Linked DNA regions of Lonchura striata. The protein of the gene in region 1 purifies or fractionates together with the protein of each later gene. This does not show direct contact. Links are inferred from orthologs where the notes say so. Each region holds a gene or a part of one and is shown in the gene's direction. Other genes may lie near its edges.

Evidence for each region.
Region 2: the proteins of FBXW11 (region 1) and AATF purify together in Homo sapiens (affinity purification with mass spectrometry; 3 studies listed by BioGRID and IntAct, with this or other methods). This does not show direct contact. The link is inferred for Lonchura striata from reciprocal best matches to the Homo sapiens genes FBXW11 and AATF.

What each region holds. Positions count from the first base shown.
Region 1 is NC_134617.1:17,017,954-17,025,897, forward strand, and holds the start of FBXW11 (F-box/WD repeat-containing protein 11), read left to right. Parts: upstream 1-4,931; 5' UTR 4,932-4,977; coding exon 4,978-5,022; intron 5,023-7,944.
Region 2 is NC_134622.1:10,339,230-10,346,985, forward strand, and holds the start of AATF (protein AATF), read left to right. Parts: upstream 1-4,752; 5' UTR 4,753-4,772; coding exon 4,773-4,857; intron 4,858-6,109; coding exon 6,110-6,298; intron 6,299-6,476; coding exon 6,477-6,902; intron 6,903-7,485; coding exon 7,486-7,623; intron 7,624-7,756. UniProt on the Homo sapiens protein: Part of the small subunit (SSU) processome, first precursor of the small eukaryotic ribosomal subunit.

The sequences.
Region 1 (7,944 bases):
GGGCAGGTCCTGCCTGCGGGATGAGGAGGTGACCTGGAGCTGCTGCAGGGCTGAGCTGGGAATGGATGAGGTGGGGGAGCCCCAGCCCTGCCTGGGCTGTGAGAAGGCAGCAACGTCTGACCTCTCACAGCCCTGTCACAGCCCTGTCACAGCCAGGCCACTGCCCTGCCACAGCCCTGCCACAGCCCTGCCAGAGCTCTGCCACAGCCACCTGCCTGCCCCTCTGTGCTGGTGTCCCATGGTCACTGCTATGGTGAGGTGGCTCTGGGCTCCTTGCTCATCTCACTGTGCCCCTTTTGGGGTCAGTTCTCCCCCCTTCCCTCTGTGTCCCCAGGTGTCCCCATTGGCTCTGCCATAGCTGCAGCCCTGTGGCTGTGCCCTGTGTGCAGCTCTGCTCTCCCCAAAGCCACCACAGGGCCCACCCTGGACATGGCAACTCTTGGACAGCTGGGATGGAGGCAGGAGCTGCTGAAGGACCTCTGTAAGTCCAGGTGAATGTCCCTTGTGTGGGACTCTCCCCTTCCACCCAGCCACCTCCAGAGCTGTGAGACAAAAGCTCTTGCTCACCAGTTTCTCCTTTTCAGTTCCAGGGCAGGAGTTTCCTGAGAAGCTGCTTCACCTGTTTGGCCACCAGGTTCCCACATCGGCACAAACTCCTCCCCAGCTAAGGGATCCCAACAGCTGAGTTTTCCTGCCTGGCTGTGCCCTGCCATGTGCCTGGAGAAGCCCAGGTGGCTGCTTTGGCTCCCTGCTTAGGCTCCAGGACTTGCTTGGAGTAGGGAACCTTCAAATCAGCTCCTGGGATCTCCAGGTCGCCCTGAGTTGCTCTGCTGCCAGCCTGTGGAGGTCAGAGAGGCAATTGCTCCTGGAAGGACCCTGGTGACACTGGGCTTGTCTGGGCTGTGCAGCTGCCAGGGAACTTGGCCAGCTCCAGAACAGCCCAGTGTGGGAGGATGTCAAGAGAAATAGTTCAGCTCATTATCCAGAAAAGATGTAGTGAGACAAAATGCAGTGGTGTCACTCCCAAAATCCTGCCCCAGGAGTGCTGTGGTGGTGCCAGGACATGTGAGACACAGACAGAGCCGGTGTGGGAATTGTGGTGGAGATGACCAGGGAGCAAATCCTTCCCTGGGACAATGAGTGGACAGAGAACATGGACTGAACCATTGGCTGAGTTCCAGTGGAGTCAGCCCAGGGGGATGGAGGTTTCCAGGGTTTTTCTAAGCACAGGATTACTTTTGCTTTGATACAGCAAGGCTGAGGTGGCCCTCAAGGAATCCCTGCCCTGTTGCACAAAATGGAGATATCTCCGGGTTGGTGGTGCTGGGACTTTCCCTTCCACCTCCCCCCCGCCATCCTCATCCTCACAGGAAAACTGGCAGAGCAAGTTCTCTGGGACGGAGCTGCCCCAACTCTCTGCTGTGCCTCCACCTGAACAGGGGCCTAATTAGCACTAATTAGCAGCTGTGACCCTGCGTGGCAGCTGTGCAGATGTATGACACAGATCTGTCACACAGTGGTACAGCCTTGTCTGAGCAGGGCACACCCAGAGACTGCTCCTCAAATTGCTGCAGCCAGGTAGGCATGGGAATATTGTGCTTGACTCATGGAAACATTTAGGGAGGAAAAGACCTCCAAGACTGAGTCCAAGCCACGGCCAACGCCCATCTTGTCCCCAGCCCAGAGCACTCAGTGCCAGCTCCAGGTGTTCCCTGGACACCTCCAGGGATGGGCACTCCAAACCTCCCTGAGCAGCTCCTCCCAATCCCTGAGCCCCCTTTCCATGGGGAAATTCCTGCTGCTGCCCACCCTGAGCCTGCCCTGGCCCAGCCTGAGGCCGTTCCCTCTCCTCCTGTCCCTGTTCCCTGGGGCAGAGCCCGACCCCCCGGCTGTCCCCTCCTGTCAGGAGCTGTGCAGAGCCACAAGGTCCCCCTGAGCCTCCTTTGCTCCAGGCTGAGCCCCTTCCCAGCTCCCTCAGCCTCTCCTGGGGCTCCAGTCCCTTCCCAGCTCCCTCAGCTGCTCCTCCTGGGACTGACTCTTTCCCAGTGAGTTTCTATCTCAGAATAAATTTATCAAAACCTGTTTTTTAATCTTATTATGCCTTGAACATGTTGCTCAGTCCTCATGAAGTTTTAAGTTGTCAGTTGGTCAGAAACAATTTTAATTTACAGGTACAGAGATTGATATCCCCACTCCTGCTTTCCTCGGTGTTCCACACTAAAGGCAAAACATTTGATGTTTTTATGATGCTTTCCTTAATTAATTTCTATGTATTTCTCCTTCTCTCACATCATAGGAATTGCTTTTACCACACCATTAAGAGCAGATTACAGGAACTCCATTTCCATCTGACTCCTCCTGCCAGAATGAGACCCATCCTGCTGTGCAACATGCATTGCTGTGGTGCAGGAACCCTTGGAGCTGCTGTGATGGCAACATTTATTTACCCTTTGTGCAAATTAATGGAAGATTTTCCCTCTCTTTTTTCTCTTTGCCCTGGGAATCCTTCCCATACTCAGAACACCAGGTTGTGCTTTGGAAAGCACCAGGATTGCTGTGCTGTCAGCAAACCCCTGCCCTGGGTATATTTAGACTGAGACATGCTGATTTTTTACTTTGGTGTCCCAAACAAATCTCTGCTGCCTTGGTTGATGTCCAGAACCAATGGCTGATCGCAGGGACAGAATGGAGCTGGATTTTGTCCCACCTTTCTCAGTGACACCTGTGTGGGGGTGTTACACAATGGGTCTAATTCCACCTGCAAGTCCTTCCTTAGGGGTTGTGATGGGAAGGGGGGGAAGGATCCAACTCAGCTGCCAGGGGGGGCAGGTTTGGGCAGGAAAGGGTGGATTTTCCATGGCAATGGGGCATCAGGGTGAGGGGCAGTGCTGCTGTGGGTGGCCTCACTTTGGGGCAGGGGCATCTCTGGGTTTGGCTTTGTCCCCATAGATGGAAATGGGGCAGCTTTTGGGGCACAGCCATTTGTCGTCCCCAGGCTGTGAGCAGAAGCAGGGAGGGAGGGCCATTTGCAGCTCTTGCTTTACCTTTTAAATGCTCTAGAAAGGGTTTAGACCTCACGGTAAGTATTGTTCTAAGTCATTTTGAGTGGATGAAGGACATTTCTGCTGATGCCAATGTCCTGTGGAGCAGGTGAGCTGTCAGTAAGAAAGGACTTTGCACCATTTCCATTTGTTCATCCTCCATCTCTTCTACATTTGGCAGAGATTTGAACAGGTAACAGACAAAAATGCTTAGCAGGGAGTTCCAGGTCCATTTTCACAGCAAGCCCAATGCTGTGCTGTCACAGCACGCTGCTGCTTAGGACAGATTTGCATCCAATTTCCAATGCCTACGGCTGCACTTGGTCCCTGCTGCCGGTCAGAGGGCAGCCTGAGTGGCCTTGGTCCCCAAAGCACCTGAGCTCTGGACGGCTGCTGGATGCTCCGGGGCTCCTGTGGCAGAGGCAGCTTGCCAGCAGGATCTACACCCTAAAGGCTGAATAAGTTGCTCATTGCCAAGGGTTGAGGTCAGCTGCGTGGAAATGCCCAGTGGTGCCAGCAAGACCAGGCCTAAGGCACAGATTAGGATTTATTAAACTGAACTGTTTATGAAGCAGACAGTACAACGTGCAGAGCCCACAGAATCCCAGAATGGTTTGGGCTGGAAGGGGCCTTAAAGCCCATCCCATCCCACCCCTGCCATGGCAGGGACACCTCCCACTGCTCCCAGCCCCGTCCAGCCTGGCCTTGGGCACTGCCGGACCCAGGGCAGCCCCAGCCGCTCTGGGCACCTGTGCCAGGCACGGAGGGAGCGATGGAGGCGAGTCTCCCGGGCGCTTTCCAAGCTTTCCGTCCCCCAGCATCCAGCACCAAGCCCGCCCTGGCCCTTCCCACACGGATCGACCCCGGCAGCGCGGGACAGGCCCCGGCCCTCTGCCGTCCCTCGGAGGCGCTGCCCGCCGCTGCTGCTCCATTCCCGTTCCCGTTCTTCTTCCATTCCCGCTCCCGTTCCCATTCCCTTTCCCGCTCCCGTTTTCTCTCCCTTTTCCTGTTCCCATTCCTATTCCCGCCCCCCTTTCCTCTTCCCATTTCCATTCCCGTTCCCGTTCCCCTTTCCTGTTCCCGTTCCCCTTTCCCGTTCCCTTTCCCGCTCCCATTTCCGCTCCCGTTCCCGCTCCCGTTCCCCTTTCCCGTTCCCTTTCCCGCTCCCATTTCCGCTCCCGTTCCCCTTTCCCGTTCCCTTTCCCGCTCCCGTTCCCCTTTCCCTTTCCCGTTTCCCCGCTCCGTTTCCCGCTCCCGTTCCCGTTCCCCTTTCCCGTTCCCTTTCCCGCTCCCATTTCCGCTCCCGTTCCCCTTTCCCGTTCCCTTTCCCGCTCCCGTTCCCCTTTCCTGTTCCCGTTCCCCTTTCCCATTCCCTTTCTCGCTCCCATTTCCGCTCCCGTTCCCCTTTCCCGTTCCCGTTTCCCCGCTCCGTTTCCCGCTCCCGTTCCCGTTCCCCTTTCCCATTCCCTTTCCCGCTCCCATTTCCGCTCCCGTTCCCCTTTCCCGTTCCCGTTTCCCCGCTCCGTTTCCCGCTCCCGTTCCCGTTCCCCTTTCCCATTCCCTTTCCCGCTCCCATTTCCGCTCCCGTTCCCCTTTCCCGTTCCCGTTTCCCCGCTCCGTTTCCCGCTCCCATTCCCGTTCCCGCTCCCTTTCCCGCTCCCCTGCGGGCCCCTCACGCCGCGCCCCGGCCCCGCCCCTCCCCTCCCGGCATCCCCCGCGCGCCGCCCGTGCCCAATGGTCAGCGCGGAGCCGCCCCGGGGGCGGGGCCAGGCGCGTCGGGGCCACGCCCCTTCCGCGAGCGCCGTGACGTCACGGCGGGCGCAGCGCGCGTGCGCGGGCGCGCGGCGGGGGCGGGCGGGCCGCGGCGGGGCCTGGCGGGCGCGGGGCGGCGGCGGGGCCGGGCCGGGCGGGCGGGCGGAGCGGAGCGGCCGCCGCGATGGAGCCCGACTCGGTCATCGAGGACAAGACCATCGAGCTCATGGTGAGTCGCCCCCGGCCCCCGCGCACACCCTCCCGGGCCCTCTCGCCCCCCCCGGCTCAGGCCCCGCCGGCGCGCCCGGCCCGCGGGGTCCGGCGCCGCCTCCGCGGGGCTGTGCCGGGCCCGTGCCGGCCCCGCGGGGCGATCCGCTCGCTCCCGCCTCCGCCGCGCTCCCGCGGCCCGCCCGGGGCGCCACGAGCGCCTGCGTTTCATTGGAAATAAATAAATAACTACAATGAACCTGGCGGGAGGCAGGGCCCGGCCGGGGCACGAACCGAAAGCGAAATGCCCCGGGCGGGACGGCTCCGGCTCCAGCCCCTCCCCGGGCCGGCCGGAGCCCTCCGCGCCCCCGGGGGCGGATCAGACCCCGCCGGGGAGCCTCGGGGCCCCGGGCCGGGGCAGCACCGGTGCTGCAGCTCCGGTCCAGCACACTCGGAATTACCTAACGAGACCTAATTGGTGTATTGGTTATACTCCTAATTAACGCTTACACCGCTAATTTCGCGTTAGTGGAGAGGCATCCAGGTGGGAGCAGTAGAAAGAGGTGCTGAATTTTTTTTTTTTTACTATAAGCAAATTAGATCTCTATAGGCAAATGGAGACTCCTCGTTTTACTGCATTAGGCGTGAATAAAATTAAATTAGGAGTAGGGAGAGAATAGTAGTCGGTAAATATCTTCTAATTTATTTGTTAGAAGCATAATTGCTTTTTCTCCTAAGTGTAATTTGCTCTCACATACAGAATTTCATACAGTTCTCCAGAACTGAGGGGCAAAATGCAAATAATTTCCCTTTAATGCACTCTGAAGGTGAGCTGGGTTCAGTGGAGACATAAATGTGTTTTTTAGCGAGTTGAGTTGTTGCTAAACTACCTGATCCAGAAAATACGAACTTTCTTCAAGTGTGCTATCTGGTCTCAAAAAGCAGAAATAAAATGAGAAAGAAAAAGAGGAACGTAGAAAGCCTTTGTGTATCTTTCATTAATGTTACTGGTCACTGAGGGCAGGGGCTTAAAAGCTGTTCCTAGGGAGCCTCCTCCCCTGGTGCTGTGGTCTCACACTTGCCCTGGGGGGCATCAGAGCCATCAGTGCCCTTAGCAGGGAGGACAAGGCTTGGCAGCTTTGTGGGGATCCAGCTCAGGGCCAGCCACCCTGAGAGATGCCTCCTAAATTCCTGGGAATTGGGCTCTGGTTTTTTCCTTCCGTGGAACAGTCACCAACACTCCTCTGCTTTGAGTTCTGTGAGTTGCTCAGGTAGCATTTGGAGCTGGAAGGTTTGGCTCCCTCAACTTTCAAAAACCGCTTTTCCATGTTTTCGCAAGTGCTCTCCCATTTTAGTCTCTCCTCTTTGCGGCCAGGTTGTATCAGGAGGAAGCAAATGGGACTTTTGCTGATGAGTGTTGTATCCTCCACTTGCTGGAGCCGGGAAATGTGCTAATCCGTGCAAATATCTGTGGGGTTAATAGGAGTTTTAGTATGTAGTAGGAGGTTTTAGACATACACTTTTCTCTCTTTCATAAGAAACTGATAAATATAAAAATTGAGTGAGATGAACAATTAATTCTGTGGTTGCCAGGAGAAGATGGTATACAATGTATAAATGGTTTACAATGTAGTTGAATTTAATGTTAACCTTAGTGGAGGCTTGCACAAGATCACTTATGTTTGAGTGGAGATGTTTCCCTAAAAGCATTGAAAATCACTCCTAAATGCAGATGTGGAGGTTTTGCCTTCTGATGTGGTGCAGAAGGGGAGATTCGCCAGGAGATTGGTTTGAATCCACAGGGCAGAAGCTGTTTGGGCTGAGTTCCCTGTTGGGAATTTCTTTGTGATCTGGAAACGTGGGAGTTGGTGCTGTGGGAAACATCCCAAACCCAGGATCTTCCCTGCCTGGCAGACTTGGGGGGATGCTGCTCTTTTTAAGAGTGTTCCACATTCCTAAAAGATGTTTGATACCTCTTCTTGATCAGGGAGATGGGGTTTGGTGCATTGCTTCCTTCCAGTGCCAGGGATGAATCTGTAGTAAATACAGGAGCAAATGTGTGATCTGAAAGTTCTGAGGAGCAAATACACTGTAATTCTGAGGGGCTGATAAACAAGAGGTTATGTGTCAACATGTTAATTGCATATAAGTTTCAGAACATGCTGCTCTAGCCCTGAACTGTGCCTTCCCGGATTGATCATTTGCATTTATTTAAAGGAAAATCAGTCATGGAAATAATACTGTTCTATTTTTAAGGCTGGAATCTCAGATAAATATTTCAAAGTTTCAGAGTGACAACTTTGATTTGCTGTGTGAAGTTTTAGTGAGTATTCCCAAGCCACTGTGTCCCTCAGATCAGCTGAACTCTTCCCGTGCTGTGTGCTGCTTCTGTGGATGCTGTCCTTAGTCATTCCCAGGGGGATGAGCATTGAGTGATGCCATTCACAGCTTCCACGTGCAGGTGGTGCCCACCTGTATGGGTGGGATACCCCCGAGGTTAGCTGGGACTGACTGGTTTGCCCAGGCTGAGGCTCCCTGTGTCTGGCAGGGCTGGGGCTGGTTCAGTCGTGGGCTCAGGGAAATGCTGGGTGTCAGCAGGCGGCTGAGGAGTGAGGAGGTAATCCAGAACAGATGGAGGACCACTCATTGAAAGGGCTCGTTCTGCCCCTGGTTTTGGTTTTCTCAGTGAAATTAGATAACTGTGACCTTTTTGCTCTTTTGAAGAACCAACTGCAATGCTTTGTGAAATAAGTTTTGTTACCTGCAGATCAGAGTTGTGTATAAAATCTGTGTTCAGTTGCATCAACCCTGTGATTTGCATTTACCTTCAATATGTGCTAAAAGCCTGTTCTTAATTTTCCCAGGAAGCTTTCCATAATTGTTATTTAGTGTTACCAGCAGCTTTCACAGTGTGAGGGGGTTAGCTGCTTAGGTTGTTGTAACA
Region 2 (7,756 bases), on another chromosome or scaffold:
TTCTCCCCAGTTCTTTTCACTTCTTTTTTCTCTCATTTTCACGGCTAAATTGCGTTGCTGGTTTAAAAAGAAAATTTTGACTGAACTAGCATGACTGAAATGATAGAGGTCAGTTTGGAAAAGGACATTTGCTCGCCCAAGCATTGGCAAGATCAGCCCCAGCTTCTGGCTATTTTTGGCCAGCACGAGGCCCTCGTATATGGGTCAAATGTCGCTGTTGATGAAGTAAGTCAATTAAATTCAGCAGCGGTGACTCCGGGGCGGGTGATTCCCGTGGATGTGCTGGGAATGCCGTGGGGATGGGCTCCTGCACCCCCGTGGGCCCTCGCTGGCAGTGCCCCAGAGGCTCCACGTTTCCACCCCGGCCCATTCCTGTGCTCCGGTGAAGGAATGGCTCTGAAAGATGGATTCATATTAACAACCTGTAATTATACAGACACGTATAATTACATGTGCAGCCCTTCCCTGCCAAAGCTTCCATCTCATCTGACGATTTCCCAAAAGCTGACGAGCTCCACGGACACGGCAGCGAGAGATGCTGAGTGGGAGAAACTGGAAGCCGTTTTTACAGCCCAGCCTGTTCCACGTTCCCTTGTTTATCTGCTCTGTGTTTGGGCTGCTATTCCCATTCTAGCAAACAGGCATGTGAATAAAAAAGTAAAATTAAGAGGGAAAATGCCAAAGAAATTATGTCAGTGAGGTTGATGTAGTTTCTAAACAGGCCAAGGGTTTCTCTGAACCGACCGTGAGGCATGAAAAGCCTTTCATGAGCATCTCAAATGAAAATGTATCGATACAGTTTTGGTACAAATATTTCCCTGCTCTGTTCTGAGTCCTAGGCACGGCAGCATGGTTGGAGGGCATGTGAACCAGAAATTAAAACCCAGCCCTGGAGTCTGATTTAATTACCCTGCTAAGTGAAAGGCAGAGGAGAGAGAATAAACAGCGGCAAAGGCGACTCTCTGGGTGAAATATTTTAACAGTCCCCGACTTCCACAGGCTGCAGTTGCTGTTTGATGTGGCTTTGTGTTGACTGCATCTCCTCCTGAAGAACTGTGAATTGCCAGGTGCTGTGGCTGGGGTGAGCTGTGGTGAGGGGTCCCCCACACCTGAGCAGGAGTTTTGTTCTGCACGGCTGGGAGTGATGGATGTGGCACGGACGAGGAGCGGGCGAGCTCTGCCAGGAGCCCTGGGTTTGCAGCTGGGACGTGGACGGGAATGCATTGCTGCCTTTGGGATTTATATGGAGCAATTGTCCCATTAGTCTCAGTGGGTGAAACCCTGATCTCGGTGGCCTGAGCATCAAAACCGCTGCGACTTCAAGGAGCTCATTTTTTACTCCAAAGGACTAATGCGACTCACTTGTGTTTTTTATTCATTCTACTGGGTCTGTTTTATTTAACCATCACTAAAAGCCTCTCTCCCTTCATTAACAGGGCAATTCATTATTTGTGAGGGTAGAGAACGTCCCTTTTTCACTCTAAGAGTGCAGAGGTTGGAAAATGCAATTATGCAGGGGAGTCTTGGCACTAGTTCTTTGGTTGTGTGAGTGGTTAGTTACTCAGAAGTAACTGCACAGGTAAGCACTTGTTCCTGCTACTTAATTTTCCACGGATTTATTTCTCCAGGATCCTCCCTTTGTTTATGGTGGCATCTGGGAACAAAATACCAACAAACTCAAAGGGGAAAAAAAAGGAAAACTTAGAAGCAAAGCTAGGGAGGATACACTGTGCATGTGTCCTGATTTATAAGTTTCCTGGTTTTTTTTCCAAACCATGTATTTGCAAATAAATAAATAAAAATCAGTGTTTAATTTCTCATTGCTGGAGCAGGGGTAATCCCCCACCACCCATTAGGCAGAGCATCAGAGCCATCCATCCTGCCGTGCTAAAATAAATACAAACTACAAAACCGACTTGAGAGTTTATGCTGTTGAGTATTTTGAAGCTTGGGCAGGGGGAGGGAGGTTTGCTGTGAAAATGTGCGTTTTCAGCAGACGTTGGGTTTTCCATAAATCGAGCTTTAGTTTATCATCAAGGTAGCCAGTGTCAGGCGGGGAGGGTCCCGGCGGGGCTGGGAAGGGGAGGGCGATGCTCGGGTTTTTCCAGCCGGCTCCCTCTCGGTGCCTGCCGGGTTTCTCCCTGCTGGAGGCGATGGGAATTCCTGATATTCCTCTGCCCTCTGTAGGAGAAGCGCCCGCATGAGCCGAGCGGCGGGATGGAGCCGGCTGCATCCCGGCTCCCAGCACCAGTCACCTCCTGCTCGGTTCTGCGGCATCAAAGGCACCTCGGGCGCAGGAGGACAAGAAGGGGATGAGCATCAGCGTGCTCAGGTTCAGGGCGGGCTGCTGGAACCTCCGAAATCCCAGCGCTGGGTGAGGAAAGCCCAAATCTGGAGCTCATTGCGGGCTCTGAGGATCTGCAGCTCGGATCGGAGAGGCTGAGCGGGGCCCAGGCTCCTTTGGAACAAAATTCGTGCCAGCCTCGACTGGTGTTCCCCAGTTCCAGGCAATCCCTTGGGCTTGGGGCCACCTTAGGACCAAAGAAAGGGAACGGGAGAGGCTGGAGAGGGCAAAGCCAGAGAACCTGTCCCTGCTAAGGCTCTCTGCAGGTCACGTCTGTGCTGCCTGCCTGCTGCTCCTGGGCCAGAGTGTGACCCCAGGAGCCCAAATTCCCGAATTCCCATGACTGCTGTAACTCGGGTGTAACTCAGGTGTAACTTGGGTGTAACTCAGGCGTAACTCCGGTGTAAGGATCTATCCGTGTGCAAGGCCTGACCTGAGAACCCAGCTCTGGACCTCGCCGCTGTGAGAGGAACTCCAGCAGAGGCCACAGAATATTGAACACAGGAAGGGAAGAGAATGAACTCGGTTCTGCGCAGCTGGGGAGGCAGAGGAAGCTGAGGGTGATTTAAAGCGGCAGTTGTCACGTTGTGCATTACCCATGGCACTCGGCTGCCGTGCTGCCGGTACCGGCACCGAGAGCCGACCCCACAGCCCTGCTGCCCACAAGGGCTGCGAGCGCCGGTAACGGCGGCTCGGCGGCTCCCGCTGGGTCACGCTGTGGCCCTGGCATCGATCCCAGCTGGATTTCGGCTGGATTCTGGGTTCATTCCCGGTTGGGTTCCTGTTGGATCCTGGACTCATTCCTGGATGGATCCCAGGTTATTTCCCGGTTGTATCCTGGGTTCGTTCCCAGTTGGATCTTGGGCTCATTCCGGGATAGATCCCAGGCTCATTCCTGGATGGATCCTGGGTTCATTCCCAGTTGGATCTCGAGCTCATTCCGGGATAGATCCCAGGCTCATTCCTGGATGGATCCTGGGTTCATTCCCAGTTGGATCTCGGGCTCATTCCCGGATGGATCCCAGGTTAATTCTCGGATGGATTCCGGTTGGATCCCAGGCTCATTCCCGTTTGGATTCCTGTTGGATCCCGGGCTCATTCCCGGCTGGGTCCCGGGTTTGTTCCCAGTTGGACCCCAGGTTCATTCCCGGTTGGATCCCTGTTGCATGCCGGGTTCATTCCCGGTTGCGGCTTGCTCCTGGTCGGATCCCGGGTGTGCTCCCAGTTGGATCCCGGGTTCATTCCCAGTTGGATCCCGGGCTCGTTCCTGGTTGGGGCTCGTTCCCAGTCGGATCCTGGGTTCATTCCTGGTTGGATCCTGGGCTCGCTCCCGGTCGGATCCCGGGTTCGTTCCCGGTTGGGGTTCGTTCTTGGCTGGATCCCGGGTTTGTTCCCGATTGGATCCCGGGTTCATTCCCGGTTGGGGCTCATTCCCAGTCGAATCCTGGGCTCGTTACAGGTGGATCCCGGGTTCATTCCCGGTTGGGGCTCGTTCCCGCTCGGACCCCGGGCTTGTTCCGGGCGGATCCCGGGTTCATTCCCGGTTGGATCCCGGGCTCGTTCCTGGTTGGGGCTCGTTCCCAGTCGGATCCTGGGTTCATTCCTGGTTGGATCCTGGGCTCGCTCCCGGTCAGATCCCGGGTTCGTTCCCGGTTGGGGTTCGTTCTTGGCTGGATCCCGGGTTTGTTCCCGATTGGATCCCGGGTTTATTCCCAGTTGGGGCTCATTCCCAGTCGAATCCTGGGCTCGTTCCAGGTGGATCCCGGGTTCATTCCCGGTTGGGGCTCGTTCCCGCTCGGACCCCGGGCTTGTTCCGGGCGGATCCCGGGTTCATTCCCGGTTGGATCCCGGGCTCGTTCCTGGTTGGGGCTCGTTCCCGGTTGGATCCCGGGTTCATTCCTGGTTGGATCCTGGGCTCGTTCCCGGTCGGATCCCGGGCTCGTTCCCGGTTGGGGTTCGTTCTTGGCTGGATCCCGGGTTTGTTCCCGATTGGATCCCGGGTTTATTCCCGGTTGGGGCTCATTCCCAGTCGAATCCTGGGCTCGTTACAGGCGGATCCCGGGTTCATTCCCGGTTGGGGCTCGTTCCTGCTCGGACCCCGGGCTCGTTCCGGGCGGATCCCGGGTTCATTCCCGCTCGGATCCCGGGCTCGTTCCTGGTTGGGGCTCGTTCCCGCTCGGACCCCGGGCTCGTTCCCGCTCAGATCCCGGGTTTGTTCCCGATTGGATCCCGGGTTCATTCCCGGTTGGGGCTCGTTCCCGCTCGGACCCCGGGCTCGTTCCGGGCGGATCCCGGGTTCATTCCCGCTCGGACCCCGGGCTCGTTCCGGGCGGATCCCGGCGGGACCGGGCGCCCCTCCCGCCCTTCCCGCCCTTCCCGCCCTTCCCGCCCGTCCCCTCACGCGGCCCCGCCCCGGCCCGGCCCCAAGATGGCGGCGCCCTTGGCGCTGCAGCTGCAGGAGCTGCTGGACCCCCGGCCCGGCCCGCGGGACCCCGAGGACGATGCGGAGGAAGGTGCGGCAGCACCGGGGAAGGGAGGCTCGGCACCGCGGCCGGCGGCGGCGGGAGGGGCCGGCGGGGCGGCCCGGGCGCTGCCGGAGCGGCCGCACGTGGCGGCGGGGCGGGTCGGGCCCCGCCGGGCCCGGGCTGACCGCAGGGACCGCGGCGGGGTCGGGCCCGGGTTACCGACGCGATCGAGTCCTGCGAGCCGCCGGCGGGGTCGGGGATGTGCCCGCGGTCGGTTCTCAGGGCTGGGGCCAGCCGCGGGGTCGGGCCTGTGTCGGGCCTAGCCCGGTTCGGTCCTGCAGGCTGCTGGGAGCGGCGGTGCCCTGTAAGAAGCGCCTCGGTGCCCGCTGAGGAACTCGCCGTGCTCAGGAGCGCTGGTTTCCCGTTTTAGTAACCATGATTTTGCTCCAGGCTGCGCAGAATCCCAGACCGATGGGGTTTGGGGCCGCAGAGCCCACCCAGTGCCACCCCTGCCATGGCAGGGACGCTTTCCACTGTCCCGGGCTGCTCCAAACCCGCCCGGCCCGGCCCGGGACGCTGCCAGGGCCAGCCGCTGCAGCTCTGGGAGAGCTTCATCGTGTGCTGGTGCCAGACTGAGGATTCCAGGAGGTGCTGGAAGGATCTGCCCCTCCTGCCCGTCCTCTGCTGCCTGGAGTGGCCGTGCTTGTAGCAGATTTTGTTATTTTGGTTATGAGCAGGAGATGTTTTTGCCTCCCTCTGCCTCTAACAAACACTCCAAACAGGCGTTAAGATTTCCAAACGCATATTAAGGGCACTCAGCGATTTGAGTCGCTCATTGTAATTTGGCACAGGCTGGGGAGTGGTGGGATGTGTTCTCTGGGCTGGACTGTTCTGCTCTGTGTCCCAGAGGAGATGGGGATGAAGGAGGGCAAAAACCACAGTGCAATGTATGTGTTTATGTGGCTTGTATGTACAGCAAGAGGCCAGAGTGCATCTGAATTGGAGCTTTCCTCTTTTAATCTGCAAGCACAAAGTGAGTGAAGGCGTTGCAGCTTTGCAGAGCCCTCCACGTGAAGGACTCAGAGACCCTGCTGTATCCTTGGTTCATGTTCTGCTTCGTGCATGAGCCTTTCCCCCTTGCAGGAAATTATTTGTGTGCCTTTCCTGCACTTCTCAAAGTTCCTGTTCCCCTGTGCAGTGCCCTGTTGTTAGAGAGCACGAGGAGCTTCCCAGGGCTCCTTCCAGACTGGAATTCAGCTCACTTTCAGACACCCCTTCCCTTTTTTTTACCTCTCCACAGCTACAGTTGCTAAAGTGATTGACAGATTTGAGGATGAAACCACGGATGACATTTTGCCTGTTGGCAATATCAGGAAAAGAGCCTCAGCCTTTCTCCTGGAAGCTGATAAGAGGTACAGTGGAAAAGCCACATCTCGGAAAGCTTTGCAGGAAGAGCTCTGGGGAGATGCTCTGTCTGAAGAAGGATCTGGTAAGAAATCTCTTTTTTTCCCCCCTTTTTGCTGGCAGACCATGATGTCAGCACTGAGCCTGGCAGAGCTCAGGGCAAGGAGCAGCTACAGTTAAACTGGACATCAAACAGCCCAAACCTGAGCTGCTGCTGGGGAATTTCCCTGCTAAGCAAATAACTTTTTTCTCTTGTTTATTAGCTGAAGAAGCACTAGATGACTGGTACAGTGGCAGTGAAGGCTCAGAAGAGGAGGACGGTGTTGGCACAAAGGGCAGGGAGAAGCCCAGCAGTGCTGGCAGTGAGCAGGAGGATGACTTGGAGGATGATGAAGAGGCCAAGGCACCAGAGTTCAGCTCCCAGAATATCACAGACTTTGAGAAGTTTACAGAGGGGATGGATGATGCAGGGAGCAGTGAAGGGGAGGATGAAGAGGAGGGTGAAGATGATGCTGACATGGAAGAAGGAAGTGAGGAGGAGGAGGAGGAGGAGGAAGAATTTGGGAGTGAAAACCACGATGATGGAAAAGAAACCAAAGACAACGAAGATGATGGGGGAGTGCAGACCTTTTCCAGAGGACAGGAGTCTGAAGAAGTGGAGAAGGGCAAAGCTGTGAGGAACCAGCTAGGTTTGTGCATGTTTGCTGTGTGTTTGCTGGCAGGGTAAAACCAGCCTGAGCCCCTCAGCATGCTGAGGTGCTGCCAGCACCCTGCTTGTGCATGCTGCAGCAGCCCCGTGTGCGTGCAGATGTTGTGCCAGATGTTCTGGTGTCACTGCTGCTGTAACAGCTCCTGATGTGAAGTGTATTTATCCATGAGCTTAACTGAACCAGTGCTGAATATCCTCATGGGGCCATTGGGTGTGGGAGCTTCCTGCACTGCTCCTGCTGGGATCACGTTGCTTCTTTCCAAAGTGTGACTCCCACAGTGCCATTTCTTCCTGTGTGAGCTGTTACAGGATCAAACCTCTGTGTGCAGGCTTTCCTTTGAACCAGTGGAGCAGAGGGCTGGTTTGGGCTGTGGGTCACAGAGTTGCAGCTGGGATTTGCTTTGTCCAGAGGGAACTCGTGGCACCCATTTTGTGCTGGCCAAGGCTGCCCTGAGCAGGAGGAATGCAGCCCAGAGGAGAGGGCCTGAGCTGTCAGGTACTTCACCAGGAGCAAGTGCTTTGTCTTGCTAACTGATTCTTTTGTTTCCTTTTTTGTTGTGAAGCCCTGTGGGACCAGCTGATGGAAGGGAGGATCAAGATGCAGAAGGTGCTCATGACTGCCAACAGGCTGCCCCAGCCAGACACCTACCCCAGGTTCAGGAAGGAAGGGGGACAGGACTTTGACAACGCTGTGGAGAGCTGTAAGAACCTTTTCATCTTTCTCCTTTGCTCAGACCCTTACGAACAATTGCTTATTGCTGTCCAGGGCAGAGCTGGGGTGTTCTGTCCAGAGACACCTTGTACCAGCTTTGTGCAGTGAATGCAAAGGTTTGC